Linked DNA regions of Mytilus edulis. The protein of the gene in region 1 interacts with the protein of each later gene in a pairwise test. Links are inferred from orthologs where the notes say so. Each region holds a gene or a part of one and is shown in the gene's direction. Other genes may lie near its edges.

Region 1 (10,649 bases):
ATACGGTAAATTCAGAAATTTTTGTGAGCATTAAATATTGCTGTCTTGTCATTTGAGACTAAAATGCGATTTTATTTTTTTGCGATGTTGAGCATTTGAGAAAAATACTGTTATTTAAAAAAAAAAATTCAAAATGCGAGTTTAAATTTTTGCAATTATGACCCTGTCGCACATGTCACATTTTTCTCAATAATTAAAACATCGCAATAATTTCTGAATTTACACTAACTATAAAAGTGATGCCACCCAAATTCCAATTTTTGGAAGTACATAAGAACAGTTAGATATAAGGACGTAAAAGGGTTACACTTAATGTCCTGCTCCCCATACCATTTCTAACAGCAATGGCATCAAATATTTAGGAAAAAATAAAGAAACAAGGGCAACTATGATTACATTGTTACAAATGAATGTAAATAAACACAGTTTTAAGGTGTTATGGGTTTTAGTATGGTTTCTTGTCTAAAAAGTAACAGTAACTTAGAACCAAAATGCATTGGCTGGACTATTCATTTAATTTCATGGGTTTTGTAAGAATAAATGAACATCAAATATACAAATGTTCAACAAATAACAAATTATATATAGACTTTGTATACAGACTAAAACACAAAATCAAATATCCACAAGTTTTCCTCAATCCATTAAAATAGGTACTCATGAAAATAAATAAATCCAAAGCATTTCAATGGATGTGTAAGGTTAGAAAATGACATTCAATTTCACATTTTATCAAACTTTTGGAATGAGTGGTGAAACTTGATTTGATTTTGAGTTTTGATGTTTTAACACCACTTTTAAGCACCCCATTTAGGCTATTTCGTGGCAGCCAGTATTTATTGGTGGAAGAAGCCAGAGAGTGCCCAGAGAAAACCACCAACATTCGATAGGAAAACTGAAAATCGTAGTCAATTAAGATTGGAGTTGAGTGCACACGCACAAACGGTGTTTGAACTCACAACCTCAGTGTTGACTGGCTAGGGATTACAGTAGTAACTACTTAGACCACTCGGCCACTGAGGCCCCTGTTGAAACATGTGTTACAAACCAATCTTTCAATGTTATTTTCAATCTCTGTGTAACTTACCTCTCAATCCAACCATACTACCATTGAGTGATGCGTAAAGGAATGTTATATTGTTTGGCATGTGGATTAATTCTCTTGTAGGAGTTATCTCCACCCACATTGATATAGATGTGTTCCTGTAACCATAAATTAATTATTATCTATATATAAATGTCTTAAATTGAATAAAGTGTATTAATGAAAAACAATGTTTAAGTGTATATGTATATTTCTTGTAATTTCAATAACCCTTCTGTGTCATTTGGTCTGTTGTGGAGTGTTGTCTCATGGGCAATCATACCACATCTTCTTTTTTATACTTGATGATTATACAGTAAATACAAACTCATTGTGTCGAACTGGGTTGAGTTGTAACAAAGATAAGTCAAGGAATTTGTCAGTTGCTCAGTGCATTCCTAACTGTTGTTTTGTTTCATCTAACCTTGGGTGACTTTATAAGGTGTAATACCACCATTGATTTTTCCCCCATTAGTCTTTGTTAAATTTGCACTTTTCAAAAAAATTGTGCATAATTCATCTTTGTTTCAAAGAAAGAAATACGTAACACGAGTAAAATTTTAAATATTTTAAGGGTTTCCAGACAGACCTAACTTTTAATGCAGGCTTCACATTTTATCAGTTTATCTCAGGATAAGCATAAATCTTAACCATGTTAACTTACACAACTTCATCATTTGTGGGTCTAGAGAAATGTGACGTTGGTCTTAACTTTGAGTATATATGGTGTAATCTCAATGGAGGTTCAAAATCTCCTATCTGTATGTCAGAATCATTATTAGTAATACAAAAGTCAACTTCAGCAAAGTTCTCTAAAAATGCCTGCCATTCCTGAAAAATAATAAATCATCAAAATCAACAATGTTAACAGCTCAAGTATGTAGTACAGTATAGCTTTATATTTCAAAGAAAATAATTGTTTGAAATAGCATGATTAACATATGCATGTTCTAGCTATAATGCAGCTAAATTGAAAGGCAGGCCTGTCCTGTCTGTCTTAAAGCCCTGCCTTGTACTTTTGTTTTCTAAAATGCCATAATATATTCATAATTTAATTTTCATGGTTCAATAACAGTTTATACTCAACATGCTCAAGTGATTCTTTAAATTTCATGACAACAACAAAAAAAATAATCCATTTGAATTGAAATCATAGACATGTTAGAATTAATTTAACGTCCTTTTTTTATGCTTTACAACAAACCTTAAAAATTTTTGGAACAAAGTCAGTAGGGGACTAATAAATGGAAGAGATGGAGTGTTATTGCCGATGAGACAACTATTGAACAGAAACCATATATTTATATTTGTAGTATCATTTATTGTACTCCATGTTTGTGATCCTCCCTAAAAACTGTCCACTTGTTCATGATCAATGTACTTACCTCAGTTAAATCTGGATTGTAGAGGTCATTAGATTTAAAATAATAAGACAGTGAAATCAAAGCTATGGCAAATGCTCCGAGACAGACCATGAACATCACCAGTGGAGGACGGCTGCTGGTAAATCCTTTCAGATTCTCCCATAATGTCATTTTGTCAGCCAAATCTCCTGAAAATAATGGGGATAATTAATTAATATTCAGTGAAAAAATCAAGAAAATCTTGGTTTCAGACTCTACGATGTCACTCACGTAAATGTTTATCACCTTGTTAATGTGCATTTCATCAAAATGATTCAGTATGGATCATATATTGATGTCTAATTTGCGAAAGTCAAATAAGAAAATTACCAGTTTCCCTCCAACATACGGACAAAGGGAAATAACTCCACCTATAATCACAACAATATAATTCTTTTGGAAAATAAATCTACCCACTGGCATTTACCTTTGTACAATTTACAATACTGGCTACCAGTACTTATCATGCTTTTCATTCTAAACATTTGGATAATATGCCAGTAACCAGTTGTCATTAATTACCTTAAATATAAGACAGTCAATCTTGTTTGTGTTACAGTTTAAAATCATACACATCTTCAGCACCTGAAGAGCTAAATATCCTTCAAATACTCTTGTTTATCATCCTTGAAATGCTTGATGGGGAAATATAACTTGATAAGAATTAAAGGCTATATGTTTCCCTGAATTATGACACTTTTTATCAATTAACACAATGATCTACCAATTTTTACAAGCAGGAAATGTGTTTTACCTGCATTTGTGTTTGTATCACTATTTAAGGCCATGGAAAATTAATTGTTGGTTTCCCCTAACATGGGAAAATTTTAAAGGCAGGCTTTTTTTTTTTTTTTTTTTATGTAACCATGTGTAATTTTATATCTATATGTTTTGTTATAATAACGGAACTATAATCTTGCATATTTCCAACACTTTTAGTTGTCTCTGCAAAAAAAAAAAAATTTTTTTTTTATTATTATATTATTATATATTTTTTTCTAAAGAAAAATTTAATGACCCGGCGGTAAAAAAATGACCCGGTTGGGTTAGGGGAAATCATCAATTACTTTTCCATGGCCTAATGTGAATAATGTCACTCTCTAGTATGGCAATAATAAGATCTTCAAATTTGATATCTGTCAGTGCTACATATCTGCAGGAACATATATATTAACTGTTCTTTATACTTGTATTTAGCTTTTTCTAAATTTGCCAAAAAAAAATATATAATGAAACTATAAATATGTGTGGGGAAAGAAATTTTTAAATGTGTATTTCTAAGGATTTTTTTTATAAATTAAATTGCAAGGTACATAGCTTGTGTTTTGTTTGTCAATTATATATACTGAATTAGCAACAATTTCTTGTAGTAATAAAAAGATTAACAAATTGATTTAATTATATGTAATTAATCTTAGAATAACAAATTCCTCGATATAACATTGTGTAATAAACAGATTAATCAGTTGATTTAATCATGTGATTTAATTTTCACACCTTCATTAAATGGATTATGTGTATTATTTCTACAGTTATAATAAACATTTTAATTAACTAACATTCTGGAAGCTGTTTGATTGCATAAATTTAACATTTGATAAAAGGGTTGGTGAAGTCCTAAGATGACATAAACTTTTAATGCTTCACTGATGTTTGGGCACCATGGGTGCTGAAATAAATATTGAGTATGTTGGAGGTTACACATTAAATGTGTTTTGACTAGGTAATTTACTTTACCATGTTTAAAGGATGCTGATTTACACAGTTGTTCTTTTTAAATGTTTTTGATTGTATTTTTTTTTATAATGTAACCATGGTCATATTAGTCAATTTCTTCTAATCAACAGTTCGGTTTCAATACAATTCATAAAACAATATCTGGAATCCTTATTTGAATGTGGAGATTTAATAAGTAATATCATGAATAATTTTGCTTGTTTTCCTAAGGGTGAAATAAGCAAGTGAAATGATTTAAAAAGATAACCATATAGTTTTACTCTTCTAGTTTGAACCCTTTTTACCAACGGTTGGTGAAATATGTAATGGTTTATTTTTATAAATTGTGACTTGGATAATCAGAGAGTTAACTCATTGGCACTCTTACCACATCTTCTTATATCTCCATGTTTATATTTCTGACGTTATCACATTACTTTAGTGAGTAGATTAAAATCAGACACAGTAAAAGAGACTATAACATTGGAACTGATCATCTGAAGTATTGCACACTTTTCGCATTTATTTCATCTTTAAAACAGAGTCAAAGGAACAATTATGAATAATTTAATCAGACATGGTACAACCTGACAACAGGCACTAGAATTGAGAATATCTGTCAATAGTAATAAAATATATGCAAACATCTAGCCTGTGATTAGTACAAGTTTCATTAGCATCACTCCTACCAGTAAATGTTCTTAGCCAGGCATGATTTTTAAAAAATTTTCTTTATTAATTCACAAAATCCTGAGGTAAAAAAAGATTTGTATAAGCTTTTTACTTTTAGAAAGTATACCCTGGGAACAGTATATCTATGTTAATATATATGTTCCTGTTTATCAAGGCTTTTCAATTGTACGTGTGCAATATATTTTGCAGCTTAAATTTCGAATTTTTATTTGCTAACTTCTTGTTCCGTAGTTCTGACATGCCAAATCAGAGATTATAGTGCTTCAAAGTTAAATTATTTAGCATGCATGACTCCATGTGATGAGTAGTTCTTCCACTGACAGAATAATCTGCAAAGACAAGAGTAAATAAAAACTCATTAAAAATTTACCAAATATATTACAGTTTATGATCAACTGTAAATTCACGACATCCTATCGCCAGTTTCAGCAGCAAAAACTTGTCAAAATGTTGTCAAATCTGGAGCATCAAACGTCACAACTTCCGGAACCCATTTTGAAAGGTAATATATCACGTGATTTCTATTCCACATGGCTTCTATAATCACCAAGGGGAACCGCCCACTTCTAAAGTAAACGTGGAAATGCCATCGAAGTTTGTAAAAACTTGGCATTAATTTTCAACATAATGCTATAATATCAATAAAAATACATTAAAGGGATATCTTCAAAAGTAATACGGCAATAAAAAATTATAGATAAGTCTAGAATAGGTGAATCTACTTGTTGAACTAAATAAATGGAACAGCCAAAACAAAACATGTGATTCTGAAGTTTGTGTATGACGTCAAAATGCTTAAATTTCATTGGACAAGGATGACAGATGCCAATCAAAATCCACGTGGTGTTGTAATATTTTGCACGGCAGCAAGTGTTTTGGTACCGCCGCCCGCCATGTTCTTTTAATATTTGTAAGAATTCAATCAAATATTTGAGGACACATAGTGTGTCCTCATGGATATATGAGTATTTCGGATGATAAACAATTAATGACATCTATAGAAGAGGGCTTCGGTTCTGGCGATGAGTTTGGAAACTTTGTTGGAAGCTGCGGAATATCTAGAATGGCGTAACAAGCCTAAAACACGTGGTAAGCAAAGCACATGGCTGCAGAAATTGCCTTATATGAACACGAAAACTACATTTTGTCGTTTGAACTTACAATTTTATTACAGTATGCACAATATTCATTCATGCAATAGATAATCTACGCTTCAATTTTTGTGTTATAAGGAAGATATCCATCTTGAATTTTTGACGGTTCCTGGTCGCTACCTAATTTGCATATATTTATGAGCATGATCACTCGACGCTTGGATTTTTTTTTATTTTTTGAAGGTGATAGTACATCAGAGGACCCACACGGATATTCATCACGAGTTGGGAATGATTCTGACGACTCTCCTGAATCCAGCAACTCTGGAAAGTATGCAGATGGAGATGAAAGAGAAAAAAGGCGAGCCGGAGGGTCTGTTCACGTGACATATTTTGACATGTGTATTTGCACACTAATAATATTGTCGATCTGATCGACCTTGAACACACGTGCTATTTGCCGCGTGTCATTGTTTACAAACAAAATAATAGACGTTTATTCAGTGCAATAAATTTTTCATATAATAATAATAAATGAAAAATGAGAGAACTTTTACAAATTATTCTCTAGACTACATGTCCAATCCTTGAACTTTTTCAGAAAATAAAAAAAAAAAAAAAAATCAGTTTTTGATGTTTTTCTTCCAACAATTTGAAGAAGAGCTTATCATTTAAGAATAATTATTGTTTTTCTTGAACTTTTTTATATCAACACCTTTGAAAACAAAATTTAATTAAAAAAATCAATTATGAACAAATATTGTTAAAAAAAACAGTAATAATGGCTTAGCACATTTGTAATTAAATGGCTTCATGGTTTCTAAAAATGTATCCTTTGCATGATTTATACAATTTGCGAAAATCTTCATCCATCAACTAGTCCAAATAATTATGACGTCTGGCAAGGCTATTTAAATTCTTTTCTGGGACGCTTTCCTACGAAGTCATAACGCTGAAGCCATTTTTTACGTCTGGAGTTTGAGGGGGAACTTTGAGACCTAATTTTGACATAAAATTTGCCTTGCAGGTTTAAAATTTTTACGTAGTTACAAAGTCCTACCTTTTTTGTGCTTTATTGATGTAAAATATTTCCAGAAGAAATGGTAAAATAAGATACGATTCCATTTGAGTCCGGCAAATATTGTATTTTGTTTCAAAAAGATTTCCCACAATAATCAATGAAACGTCACTTCCGGTGAATATTAAATATTAAAATCGGTAAGATTCAATGGACCCGAATTTCCGGAACGTTCGATTTACATTATCTGGAAATTCATGTCTTTCAAAATGTCCCGCTTTTAATATTTTATATTCACCAGAAGTGTCGTTTCATTGATAATTGTGGGAAATCTTTTTGAAACAAAACAAAAATCCAGATGTCATAATTATTTGGACTATCCATCAACATGATCAATACTTGTGAATAATTTCAGCAACTGAATAAAAAAGAACTTATTTCAAGATCTTAAAACAATTATGAACACTATTATTTGTGACTTTCTGTCTGTTTTTTGTATATTACTGAGTGGTTATGTCCTTCTGTCCCATGTATTTTTGGTTAAACTTTTCCCAGGAACTTTTTCTTGAAATTTCATTAAACTAATGCATATTGTACATTTTGTATGTGAGCATGCTTAATACTGTGTGACATCATAACTTTCCAATTCATTGATTAAAGAACACTTGTATGTACAAAATTGTGTAAAATTTCGTCACATTTTTCTCTGGAACTGCAAATCAAGGCTTTCTAAAATTTAGAATGAACCTTCATGTGAGCATACTATACCATGTTATGTTTGTTTAAATCCGTTATGAAAAACATGATACAAATGTTACATCCATGTACATGACATACAATGTATGATGTCATTAGTAGAATTATAAATATTTTTAAACATGAGTTGAATGCACACAAAAGCATTGACAAATGGAAAACACATTTATGATATCTGGTTTCTAATAATTAGCACTCCTTTCAAACTCCTGTTGCATATATATTTTAACTCATCATTTTATTATTTTAGGGCTGGAACAAGAGAAGTTCACAACAAATTGGAGAAAAACAGGTAAACTTGTAATGCTATATAAACACTTAATTATCAAAGTTCATCATGTTCATGGATACTGTTGAATTTTTTTGCTCCAATTTCTTGACCAAATGCTGTTTTAAACATAAGAATTCGAAGGTTGATGTCAGAATCTCTTCTTGGTTTATAACTGCTACATATATTCTTAGTATCAATTTGACACTGATCTTCATCTTCTACCTACATGATCTGTGTAACTTCTGTGAAATAATTTTGGCCACACTTTAAAATATTTTGGTTGTTCAAACCCTTCCCAAGACAGCAGGTGCTGAGGGGGCATAACATGTTTCTGTTCTCTAACTGCTAACTTTAGTTAAACAAGTAAATGTTTCAAAATTTGTACACAATGCTAATTACCGCAAAACACCAATAAAGTTTGAATTTTGGTGACGTCACTTTTACTGTTCTAGAGCTGTGCACCCATTTACAAATGGAAAACATCTGAAATTTTGTTTTCTTTCTCTTACTTTTGTTTGCCTCATCTAAATGTTATGAAACGTGTACACAATGCAAAATAGAGAAGCAAAGATATGGGCTATCTATCCATGACACTTAAAGTTAGAACATGCACAGAAAAAAACACAAAAAGTAAAAGAACAGAATTGAATGGAGAGTTGGCACTTTTTCCTTCTTACATCTATCTAGAAACAATATATTCTGTTATATTTGCTTTAACTCTTAGTTGCTGATGAACTATAGGTGGAGAAGCAGCAACAATAGTTGTAAAGATAAGTTGAAAGAAAAATATCTCGCCAACCTGCTGAATTATAAGTTAGATAAGACCACCTCAAAGTTTATACATAAAGCCATATTTGCAATTAAACGTGTACATGTACAGACTTCATTTTTATTTCTGTTGTATATATGTGACCAACACTTAACAATTATAAACAAAAAATATTTTATGAATTTAAAATAATTACTGGTTTAGAAAAACATTGTTTGATTAATTATACTTTTACAGGAGAGCTCACTTGAAAGAATGTTTTGATTACTTAAAGAAGCAGATTCCAACGTTAGAAGACAAGCGAACATCCAATCTTGGTATTTTGAGAGGCTCCCTTCGTTATATCCAGGTATAAACGTCAGATATTCAGACAATCATATTTTCTCTCTCTCATAATTTCATAGTTTAGAAAAAGTAATGTCTAAGTGCGACTTTGATTTTTGATCATATTTAACATGTTCAAGAGAGACCGAAATCAGAGACAAAGGGAAAAATAATATATATTTATTTCCCGTATCAGAGGGAAACATAAAGATTTGTTCACCCAAGATAAATCATATTTCACATGGGCATTGCCTGAGGGAAATATGACTTTTCAAAGGTGAACAAATCTTCATATGTCACAAAGCTAAGGAAAATGAATGTTTTATTCCACTGCCTATACTCTTTTTTACTTCTGAATATAAAAATTTACATAATTTTTTTCTTATTCCTTTTGTTTTATAACTAAACACAACATACACAATGATAATCAGTACAGATTTAAAGCTAATTAATTTTTTTTTTTTTTTAATTGTTTTTAGATTTGAAATAATTTTTAAAATAGACCCTATCAAAATATTTCATTTAAACATTAACCGCAGGTAAAGTCGCACAAGGCAATCCCTACGTTCAGAGGGGAATATGAAGTTTTGTTTGACATCACATGATAGTTTCAACCAATCAAATGTTTTTATACAAGCATGACAGGTGTTGGCCTTAGAAAAAGTGAAATTTTTACTCCAGGATAATAAACCAGTTAACAGTATTAAGCATATTATCATAAAATGAGTATACACAAAACAAACTTTTTCCTTCACTATATTTATACCAAATAAACTATAGAAAACGAACAAAGATTTATAAATCAAAATGATGTCATGACTCTAAATTATAATTCAATGTCTGACTATAAATCATACAACAACAAATGACAGGTACATGTGTACTGTAGCTTACAAAATAAATGATTCAGTAGACACTACTTTTAAGGTGAAGAAGAGATATCCAATATTCTGATCTCTGTCATGTCTGTAGGACCTCAATATACTTCTATTAAAAAAATGAAATAGTTAAAATTCCCCTACTAATGATCAAATGGTATTAAACTCCTACTCCTCAGATTTCTTTTATATCTTTACTAATATATTTTTTATCCTGTGTATGACCTGTTTAGAAATGATAAAACCCTACTGATTTAACAATAGTAGGTCAAGGTTATAATTAATAAACAAAGAAAACAACAACAAATCATAATGTTTTAAGAGGGTTACACATCTAATATACATTTCTCATAAAACACAGTAAATTTTTGTTTGTGTTGAAAAGTAGTTTTCTGTAAAATATTTTTTTTAGAAAATCTCTCATAATTTAGTATCTAAATCTTAATAATTTTTAGCAGAAACCATGACTTCTTTTAATTGGTCAGATTGATTTAATAAATTTTATTTGCATGTAAAAACGGGATATATTATGGTGTAATTCTGTGACATTGTTATTTGCAGAGCTATTTTATTTGCTTATGATTATTTAATGTCATTGAAATCTTCCATTTATTCTTGCAACAATTTCAATATGCTTAATCAG
Region 2 (10,806 bases), on another chromosome or scaffold:
GTTCAAGTGTTTGTGTTTCTCATTTTCTATGTATTTTTTTAAATCACACTCAGTAATACAATGAATGCCTTATGTGTATACCTATTTAGTTTAATTGTATCACGTTTTCTATTTCTATGTGTTCTTTCTATCACACTTAGTATGTGTTCTTCAGCAGGAGGTGTCTCATGTCTATCAGTGTCTGCTGAACTTATTTCCATTTTTTCTAAAGTTTCTCCTATATCCTCTATTGTAACTTGGTCTCTTTCCAGTACAAAATTTGACATATTTCTTTCAAGTTCCATATGTACATTCCCTTCAGCATTACATAAATCCGATTCTGATTCATTTTGAACCATTACACTAAAATCTTTTTGTATGTCTTTGTTTTGTTTTGGTACATCCCTAGACTGTTGAAGATTTTGTATTTTGAATTTTGAAACTGGCTTTTTTATCATTTGGCCTGTAACTTCAGTAATCACTTTGGGTTTAACATTTTCTTTAGTTGAAGGGGAGATAACTTGTCTGTTTAGTGAAGGGGAGATAATTTGTCTGTTTGTTGATTCCTGTAATTCTGTCTCTATTCTCTCACTGATCATTCTATGTAGTTTCTCAACAAATGATTGCACCTTTGCCCCTCCATCTGGCAACGTCTTTAGAAATTTTCTGAAATATTCAATCACATATTTAATTAGCTAAAATTATCTAAACTAAAAATTATTTTTTAAAAACTTAGCAAATTTCACAGTTAAATGTATCCCACAAACTCCACTTGTAATGGTAAAGTAAACAACTGTCTGGCAGTCAATCATACCACTTCTGCCTGATTTCATCTACATTAATTTACAAAACTGCCACCGTTTTGGAATTTATATATATATAAAAGACATTGAACTAAATTTTAAATAATCAAAGCTACTCATTGAGCACACAGAGTTTATCAATATGAATTTATTGTGAACATGATGAGTCCTAAGGTCCTCGGTCATCAAACTTTACTTGGTGCTTAGAGTAAAAAATTTGTGCTCGAAACACCAAATCCAGTATTTTGATTGGTTGATTTCTGACTCAGAGTATGTTATAAAGCATGAAAATATAGTATATACCAATACACATAATTAACAGCGCCTGGTGATGTTTGATAGCCTGACCGGTTTCGGTCCATAAAGGACCTTCATCAGAGGCAGAATGGTGGATTAATGTTTGCACCCTATTTATATAGATATGGTAACCGGCGGCTGAGTTAACCAGCGGTTGAGTTAACCGGCGGTTGGGTTAACTGGCGGTTGAGTTGACCGGCGGTTGAGTTAACCGGCGGTTGAGTTAACCGGCGGTTGAGTTAGGCGGCGGTTGAGTTAACCGGCGGTTAAGTTAACCGGCGGTTGAGTTAACCGGCGGTTGAGTTAACCGGTGAAAAATCCCAGTGGGATTTTCCATGGTTACAATTATCTATATTTAGCCAATGTTCATGTTACAGTAAACTTTTTGACATGTTACGGTAAACATTTTTACACTATATGGTAAACATGTGACCTGATGATATAACCATATTTGGGCTTCAGCATTGGATAAAGGGTGTTTTAATAATTTAAGAAGTACATAGTAATCATTTAGTCTTGATCTTTGGCTTATGATCCACCTAAATATCAAGTCTTGGAATAGTATTTCATGGTAGTTATGTGATCTTAATATTTGGCTTATGATACACCTAAATATCAAGTCTTGAAATAGTACTTCCTAGTAGTCATGCAGTCTTGACCTCAGGCTTATGATACACCTGTATATCAAGTCTTGAAATAGTAATTCATGGTAGTCATGCAGTCTTGATCTTTGGCTTATGAAACACCTAAATATCAAGTCTAATAATAGTATTTCATGGTAGTCATGCAGTCTTGACGTTTTAGCTTGTGATACACCAAAACATCAAGTCAAAACTATTACCCCCCCCCCCCCTAACCAAACAAAATTTGGTTTAGGGGGGGGGGGGTTCTTATTGAGAATGCTTCATTTAAGCCTTTAGTACTCCTTTCAAGATCAAAGGTAGATGAATATTAATCCTCAGTGTTAAAAAGTTTTCAACACCTTAAGTTTGTAATGTAGGTATTACATATATACATCAATTTCAGGTAATCGCTAGGCTTACGCTTAGAGCTCCTATGCCAGTGAAAAATCAATAGGCAATATAGGAAAGGTATACTGACATAAGACGTCTCTAAACACATTAGCTCCATTAACTCAACCGCCGGTTAACTCAACCACCGGTTAACTCAACCGCCTGTCAACTCAACCGCCGGTTAACCCAACCGCCGGTTAACTCAACCGCTGGTTAACTCAACCGCCGGTTACCATATCTATATAAATAGGGTGCAAACATTAATCCACCATTCTGCCTCTGATGAAGGTCCTTTATGGACCGAAACCGGTCAGGCTATCAAACATCACCAGGCGCTGTTAATTATGTGTATTGGTATATACTATATTTTTATGCTTTTACATTTTTCTCACTGATACACATAGTTAATATGGCTTCTACTAACGAAAGCTCCATGGAGCTAATGTGTTTAGAGACTACTTATGTCAGTATACCTTTCCTATATTGCCTATTGATTTTTCACTGGCATAGGAGCTCTAAGCGTAAGCCTAGCGATTACCTGAAATTGATGTATATATGTAATACCTACATTACAAACTTAAGGTGTTGAAAACTTTTTAACACTGAGGATTAATATTCATCTACCTTTGATCTTGAAAGGAGTACTAAAGGCTTAAATGAAGTATTCTCAATAAGAACCCCCCCCCCCCCCTAAACCAAATTTTGTTTGGTTAGGGGGGGGGGGGGTAATAGTTTTGACTTGATGTTTTGGTGTATCACAAGCTAAAACGTCAAGACTGCATGACTACCATGAAATACTATTATTAGACTTGATATTTAGGTGTTTCATAAGCCAAAGATCAAGACTGCATGACTACCATGAATTACTATTTCAAGACTTGATATACAGGTGTATCATAAGCCTGAGGTCAAGACTGCATGACTACTAGGAAGTACTATTTCAAGACTTGATATTTAGGTGTATCATAAGCCAAATATTAAGATCACATAACTACCATGAAATACTATTCCAAGACTTGATATTTAGGTGGATCATAAGCCAAAGATCAAGACTAAATGATTACTATGTACTTCTTAAATTATTAAAACACCCTTTATCCAATGCTAAAGCCCAAATATGGTTATATCATCAGGTCACATGTTTACCATATAGTGTAAAAATGTTTACCGTAACATGTCAAAAAGTTTACTGTAACATGAACATTGGCTAAATATAGATAATTGTAACCATGGAAAATCCCACTGGGATTTTTCACCGGTTAACTCAACCGCCGGTAAACTCAACCGCCGGTTAACTCAACCGCCGGTTAACTCAACCGCCGCCTAACTCAACCGCCGGTTAACTCAACCGCCGGACAACTCAACCGCCGGTTAACCCAACCGCCGGTTAACTCAACCGCTGGTTAACTCAACCGCCGGTTACCATATCTATATAAATAGGGTGCAAACATTAATCCACCATTCTGCCTCTGATGAAGGTCCTTTATGGACCGAAACCGGTCAGGCTATCAAACATCACCAGGCGCTGTTAATTATGTGTATTGGTATATACTATATTTTTATGCTTTTACATTTTTCTCACTGATACACATAGTTAATATGGCTTCTACTAACGAAAGCTCCATGGAGCTAATGTGTTTAGAGACTACTTATGTCAGTATACCTTTCCTATATTGCCTATGTTATAAAGCATGCTAAAACATTTTATGACAAGGCCTTACATACATATTTTTAGAGTATGATTATTGTACTCAGAATCAGAAATTAACCAATATAAATGCTGAATTTCATGTTCTAAGCATAAACTTTGTTCACTTGAGTTCTGACTAAATTTAAATGACTGTAAAGCCAGAGACTCAATATTTTTTACCATCTAGAGTAAAAAATCATTATCAACATACTGGTAGTCAAAGCATGGACCCCACTGTTAAAGAACTTGTGAATCGAGGCTCCATAGACTCATCTGGTTTGTAACCATAAGGACATGTTATAAAACATGCCAGAACACAGAGTATTTTACGGAATATCAAAATCATTGTGATTACAAGATTCAGGTAACACAGAGAACCAGGACACACAATGGACATTCGTTAGTAATGCAATCAGAATTCTCATAAAATTCAGTCATGAACATAAAACAGAAAAAGCTCTGCATGTAGGCAGGTTATCACTGTACAAATGTATATATCAAAAACTTCATGAACTTACACCTTCTTCAACAGCTTTTCCTGCCTTTCCAACAATTCTTTCAACTCTGTGACAGATTTTGCAGACAAATTACCTTCTAGGTAATCCTGTGGTATGTGTTCCATTTCTAATAAATCAACAAATGTACAAAAATTTAAAAACTTTTGTCCTGTCAGTTGTCAATTTTTAAAATTTTAATATTATATAGAAAGCACACGGAACAATTCTAATTCAATGTATTTCAACAAGCGAAAGTTGAAGGATGTAATAAAATTCATTTTTTTTTTTTATTAATGTCTGAAACAGCTTTTTTCTTTACTTTTCAGAACCAACAACAGTAACAAATATGTATAAATATTGCAAAGTATAGTCTTTTCTCTTGAAATTAATCATGTATCAATGGAAAATATTGCAGCAAAAACTGACTTTTACATGTACATGTAAAATGAAACATAATCAACATTGAAGATCATGAAGATTTTTTAGTAAAATTTTATCTTTATAAAAATCTAAATAATACCAAATAAAAAAAAGATTTGATAAAATAAAAATCTATTTACATATTTTTTCCAAGAGTAAATTTGGGAAAATGTAAGTAGATTTTTATAAATACTATTCTTTACACCAGAAATGTTATTTATAAACAAGCGTATGAGTTTATTAATGACTAGTATATCGCTTTCGGACAAGCAAGACAGAGATGTATATTATACACCTGATAGTTCAAAATTGAAAAAGTTATCGGCCGTGTACACTCCTCAATACCCTCAGAAGTGAAACGATGCATGAACTTGCAAGTCTGACAGGAAATCGTTTGAATACCTGGACGTGTCATCTAAAAATACCTTTTGGGTTAATACCTTTAGCCATGCTAGGGAAGGTCCAAATTTATTTAAATCACATAAAAGAATTATGAACAAATTAGATTTTCGAAAACAATTTTCACTGAACACTTATTTATGATTCAAACTTTGACTCTTTAACTAATTCCCATATAAACAGTTTAAAAATGACAGACCATGGTTATTTAGAAAATAATAACATTTTCTGTATCAAGTTATTTAGTCAGATAAAACAACTGTACGATTTACAAGATATCGACACGCAATTACAACTACATCAGGTTACTATAGTTTTGGTCCTTTGTGGTTTATAGACATATCGTGGTTTCTGAACGGAGAAGATGACAAAATGGCGGCACACAGGGAATTAAATTTAAAATCGATGATGATCTCTTATCTAGCAGAATAAAACTTTAATATCTATGAATTTGAGAATTTTTATACAGAATGGACATAATATCAATTTTTGATTTTTTGGCGAAGTTTCCCTTTAAAATCTCAACCCTCCCCTTTTACAATTTGTTTATCTCTGGGCGCAAGCCAGTGTATAAAAAACAAACACAGCAAAATTCAGTTCAAAAGAAGTCAGAGTCTGATGCCAGAATATGTATATATATATATATATTTATTTTCTTTTAGCAGGTACAATTAAATAGTTATTTTTAAGGTGATTTTGGTTATTTTGTTTTACGTTTTGAAGTTTTTCTATAACTATAGTATAAGTGATTTAATTTGGTTATTTTATTTGTAAATTTAGGGATTTTATGATCATTCTATAGACTAATTTTTGTTACTACAAACTGTTCGATAATTATGTTACTGACTGAATTTTACACAGGTAAACAGGTAAATAAAAAGTTTCACAACTTTGTTGGAAAATGATCAATGTCAATTTTCTGCTTGTAATTTTTTTTATTTTACCTTGTGAGACCCTAACTATAAACGTACAAAAGATTATGATTGACAAATTGCGATGTTTTTACCTCAACAGTGAAGAACTCACTAGTAAACAAGTGGAATTTCGGACTGAAAATAAACAGGTAAACTCAGCCAAATTGAAATTACACCAAACTTTGGGCTGTTTAGGTCGTTTAACACCGCCGTAGTAGTAGTTAATAAGATTTTTTTACATTGAAATGGAAACTTATTGCTATAATTGCCCTTGCTGAAGTTACTGTTTGTAAACTTTATCTCATGACAAAAAAAAAGACATCCCACAGCAGTGATCCAGATTTACATTGGACCTAATCATAATCTATATTTAGATATTATTGCTGTTGTCTTTTATACAGATCTATCGATGAATAGTTAAATTACCATGACACTAAAAAAAATTATAATTTAAGTAATATGTGGAATAGAATATTCAGGAGGGTCGTTATACACCTAATTGCTATTTGTCCGCCATAACATGACATCACAAAAGTTCCCGTAAAATTTTGATGGCATAATAGAAAATATCTGACACCACAATGGAAAAGTGTTTGTTGTATGACGTCAAAAGTTTATGAGGGACAGATATCCAAATAGCGAATACGTGTATGGGGGTTCCTTCGTGACAAATAACGGTAAAAATTCTAGCCAAATGATGTTAACGGTAATTATTGGTGCATGTGGATAAATGTACACTTTCTTTTAGATGATAAAAATAATCAACTGATTTTAATAAATCACGCAAAAATTTTCCAAAAATAACATTAACAGTAATTACCTCTGATGAATCACTATAAGGATATTTTGATGAATCATGATAGATATTTTGACGAATCAAGGTGAAGTTTTAGATAAAAATAACAGTTTATAACGCCTGACGGTAAAGGCCATTCCTATCCTCATTCAGGGCATGCACAGCAACAATTTTGTTTCAACCCCACACCAATCCGTAGGGCTTTGACTTAAAGACAATAGCATACATGTGTAACATGAGTTTTTTAAATCAATGTAGGTAATTTTTTTATCCAAATATTTCAGTCAAGCTGTCTTGGGACAAAATGTAACTTTTTATGAATGGTTGTGCCATGAAAGCAAGTATACTATTAAATTAAAAGTAAATTTTCATTACTATAAACTGATACATGTACATGTACATATTTATGAGGATCTTTCCCGATCTGTGTTATTGCAGCTTAGTTTTCATAGTGTAGCTTATAGTAACAATAGATATATGCCATTAGTAAAAATATTTTGTTTTTCACTTTTTAGATGTTTAACATGTTGTAGCAAATAGCAAATAAAATGGCTGATAGTAGCTATAGTGATATTAGCTTTGACAAAAAAGGTGAGTTGTTTGTTCTTGGGTAAGCATAATTATTTTATTTTTTTCATTATTTTACAAACTTACATCCCAAAATGATTATGAAAATTTCAAAAGATTTATAATTTTAATACATTGTATATACATATATATATATACATGTACTCAATTAGTGCAAAAAAAAACCCTAGTAACTATAAATACAAACAGGTAGATGAAATTCAGTTTCATTGAATTTTTTTTTTTAAATATATGAAATCTTTGAGAATTTCAATACTCATGATATGACATTAAATAATTTAATGTGGAAAATTATTCAACTGCTTTTGTCATGATTATTTCACATCCTGTGGTCCCCAGAATTTTTAAATATCACGGACACCATGGAAATTAACATTGAACTGTTTTACAAAAAAATATAGCACCATGGCCCCTATACATTCAACTATAAAATCATAAAGATAGAACCATGGTAGAAAATATAATACCAGGTTTCCACAGTGTGTTAAGGCCCTTGGGAGAACACTGAAATTATTGTATACTGTAAACCATGATATGCCTGTCAAACAATTTATACCATAATTAAAATTTGTTGTACCAATTCACATGTAAATTTAACAGAAAGAAGAAGGCTTTCTTTCCATTTTTGAAATATTTGGCATTCTTATGTTTCATAGTACTTTATGATTAATAATTGAACCAAAAAATATATATTTTATTTTTTTCAATATCCAGAAGCTAATGCACTTTTCAAATCTATTTTCAACGTTATTCACACCATATCATGACAGTCTTTTACAAAATAAATCAATTATCTGAAACATGTATCAATAAAAATGTGAATAGAAAGAAATTTGGGAATAATATCAATTAGTCAGTAACCAAACAATATAAATTCTCTGGAAATTTCCAATACAAATGTATTATGCTTTTTTTCTACAGATGAAAATCTGATGAAAGTAGAGACTGTAAGTCCTACCCACAATAACAGATTTTCTTTCTCACGGACAAGTAGTACAGGCTCTATACCACAGGGATGTATGTCTTCAGCATCATCTGCACATAATACAGGTAAGGGAAATAATTCTGTAGTGATACTATCTCTATACCACAAAGATGTGTCACCATCATCGTTTGCCTAGGACAATTGTAACTCATTTATAAAATTTCTTTGTTTTGATTTATAAGTAGTCATTAAACTAAAAGATAAACCCTTACTAAGAACATGATTTAGATTCATTCACTACAATAAACAAAAGGAACATCAAATTTTACAATTTTAATGATCAAGTGCACTTATTCTAAATCAATGTTACTTTAAAAGATACCAGGGCCGTAACTACATTGAGGCAAATGAGGCAAATGTCTCATGTTGGAAATTTCAAAAAAAAAAACAAAAAAAACGGAAACAAAACATTGTCTTCATATCAAATTGTTTTCACTGAAAGTCTCTTGCAAAAAGCATGTTTTCTTTACTATCTGTTGTTGCCCCTGCATGTTTTCGTGATCCATGTTTTATTTTACTTTTAGTTTTCAGAGTAGATAGTCTATTGTTTGTACTTCTGTGTCCCGGGTTTTTCTTTTGTTTGTACTTCCGTGTCTTGGGTTTGTCTTTTGTTCATTTATTGTCCTACTTTATGACTATAGTCTGAGTGTTGATTTTCATTTGTAAGCGTTTGGTTTTGCAATAGTGCATGTCCACCGATGTCCAGAAATTGTGTGAGAAAATATTTTAAGAATATACGATGCTATTCTGGACACAGCAAAAAAAAATCGTTTCTGCATGGAGAATTGAACTTGATATCAAAGAAAACTGGCTCTTTTTTGTAGAAAGATAGCTGACATGGATTAAATTAAAGTAAGACCTCTAATTTCCTCGTATAAAGTCATCTATATAAATTATAAAAACATCAATGCATTTCAATATGACCTTTTACATTGAAGGGTTAAACTTGCATTAAGTTCAGACCCTTTAACTGAAAATAAAGGAACATGGAGTAAACGTGCACGGAACATAATCTCACACAAAGTCAATGCATAGAAACAAATACAATGATCAATGGTCAAAGTTTTTATTCTTGTTCTTCATCTTGATAGTTACTGGAGGGTCTTCAACAATAAAAGAATCATTAATACCCCAAAACAAGGTCAAGATGGTCCTTAGTGACGACTTTTCAGTACTAGTATAATTATAATAGTTGCACTGTCACTATATTTAAATATAATAAAAAAAATAATAAAAAAAGTCTAAGCACTATACAAGACAACAACAGAACGACAGACAGATCCGGTTTTAATGATTATGATTTTTTACGATTTTTAACCGGATTTTTGTGACAAAAATGTCGGTTATTGATTTGGGGATGTACGGCGGGCTGTCGGGCGGGCGGTCGGTCGGGCGGGCGGGCGGGCGGGCGGCAATCAAATGTTGTCCGTGCATTAACTCATGAACCGTTCAACCAAAGCTTTTAAAATTTTAATATGTTGTTACTGACAACTAAATGAAGGTCAAGTTCAATAATGGCGATTTTGACTTTTACTGTTCAGGAGTTATGGTTCTTGAAAGATTGAAAAATGGAGTTTCCAGTCGTTTTCGTGCATTTACGCATGAACTGTTCTACCTAAGCTTCCCAAATTTTAATATGTTGTTACTGATGACAAAATGGAGGTCAAGTTTAATAATGGCGATTTTGACTTTTACCGTTCAGAAGTTATGGTTCTTGAAAGATAGAAAAATGGAGTTTCCAGTCGTGTCCGTGCATTTACGCATGAACTGTTCTACCTAAGCTTCCCAAATTTTAATATGTTGTTACTGATGACAAAATGGAGGTCAAGTTCAATAATGACGATTTTGACTTTAACCGTTCAGGAGTTATGGTTCTTGAAAGATTGAAAAATGGAGTTTCCAGTCGTTTTCGTGCATTTACGCATGAACTGTTCTACCTAAGCTTCCCAAATTTTAATATGTTGTTACTGATGACAAAATAGAAGTCAAGTTCAATAAAGACGATTTTGACTTTTACCGTTCAGGAGTTATGGTTCTTGAAAGATTGAAAAATGGTGTTTCCAGTCGTGTCCGTGCATTTTCTCATGAACCATTCAACCAAAGCTTTTGAAATTTTTATATGTTGTTACTGATGGCAAATTAGAGGTCAAGTTCAATAATGATGATTTTGACTTTTACCGTTCAGGAGTTGTGGTTCTTGAAAGATTGTGAAATGGCGTTTCCATTCACGTTGTTGCATTTACTCATGAACCATTCAATCTAAGCTTTTCAAATTTTAAGATGTTGATACTGATGACAAAATGGAGGTCAAATTTGATATTGATGATTTTCACTTTCACCATTCATCAGTAATGGTTCTTGTGATATTGCCAGGACACAAATAAATATTAATAAATCCGGTTTGCTGTCGTTGTGACAGCCTCTT

What was found. The genes of interacting proteins can lie anywhere in the genome.
Region 2: the proteins of max-binding protein MNT-like (region 1) and max-like protein X interact in a two-hybrid assay, tested with the Homo sapiens proteins (2 studies listed by BioGRID and IntAct). The link is inferred for Mytilus edulis from reciprocal best matches to the Homo sapiens genes MNT and MLX.

The regions. Positions count from the first base shown.
Region 1 is NC_092349.1:3,783,989-3,794,637, reverse strand, and holds the start of max-binding protein MNT-like, read left to right. Parts: upstream 1-5,703; 5' UTR 5,704-5,918; coding exon 5,919-5,985; intron 5,986-6,233; coding exon 6,234-6,363; intron 6,364-8,014; coding exon 8,015-8,056; intron 8,057-9,041; coding exon 9,042-9,153; intron 9,154-10,649. Other genes in the region: transmembrane protein 248-like, read right to left, coding at 1,088-1,203, 1,749-1,915, 2,470-2,619. UniProt on the Homo sapiens protein: Binds DNA as a heterodimer with MAX and represses transcription. Binds to the canonical E box sequence 5'-CACGTG-3' and, with higher affinity, to 5'-CACGCG-3'.
Region 2 is NC_092347.1:30,991,665-31,002,470, reverse strand, and holds the start of max-like protein X, read left to right. Parts: upstream 1-6,058; 5' UTR 6,059-6,161; intron 6,162-7,323; 5' UTR 7,324-7,356; coding exon 7,357-7,399; intron 7,400-8,315; exon of another isoform or gene 8,316-8,317; coding exon 8,318-8,446; intron 8,447-10,806. Other genes in the region: DNA-directed RNA polymerase II subunit GRINL1A-like, read right to left, coding at 82-645, 4,301-4,406. UniProt on the Homo sapiens protein: Transcription regulator. Forms a sequence-specific DNA-binding protein complex with MAD1, MAD4, MNT, WBSCR14 and MLXIP which recognizes the core sequence 5'-CACGTG-3'. The TCFL4-MAD1, TCFL4-MAD4, TCFL4-WBSCR14 complexes are transcriptional repressors.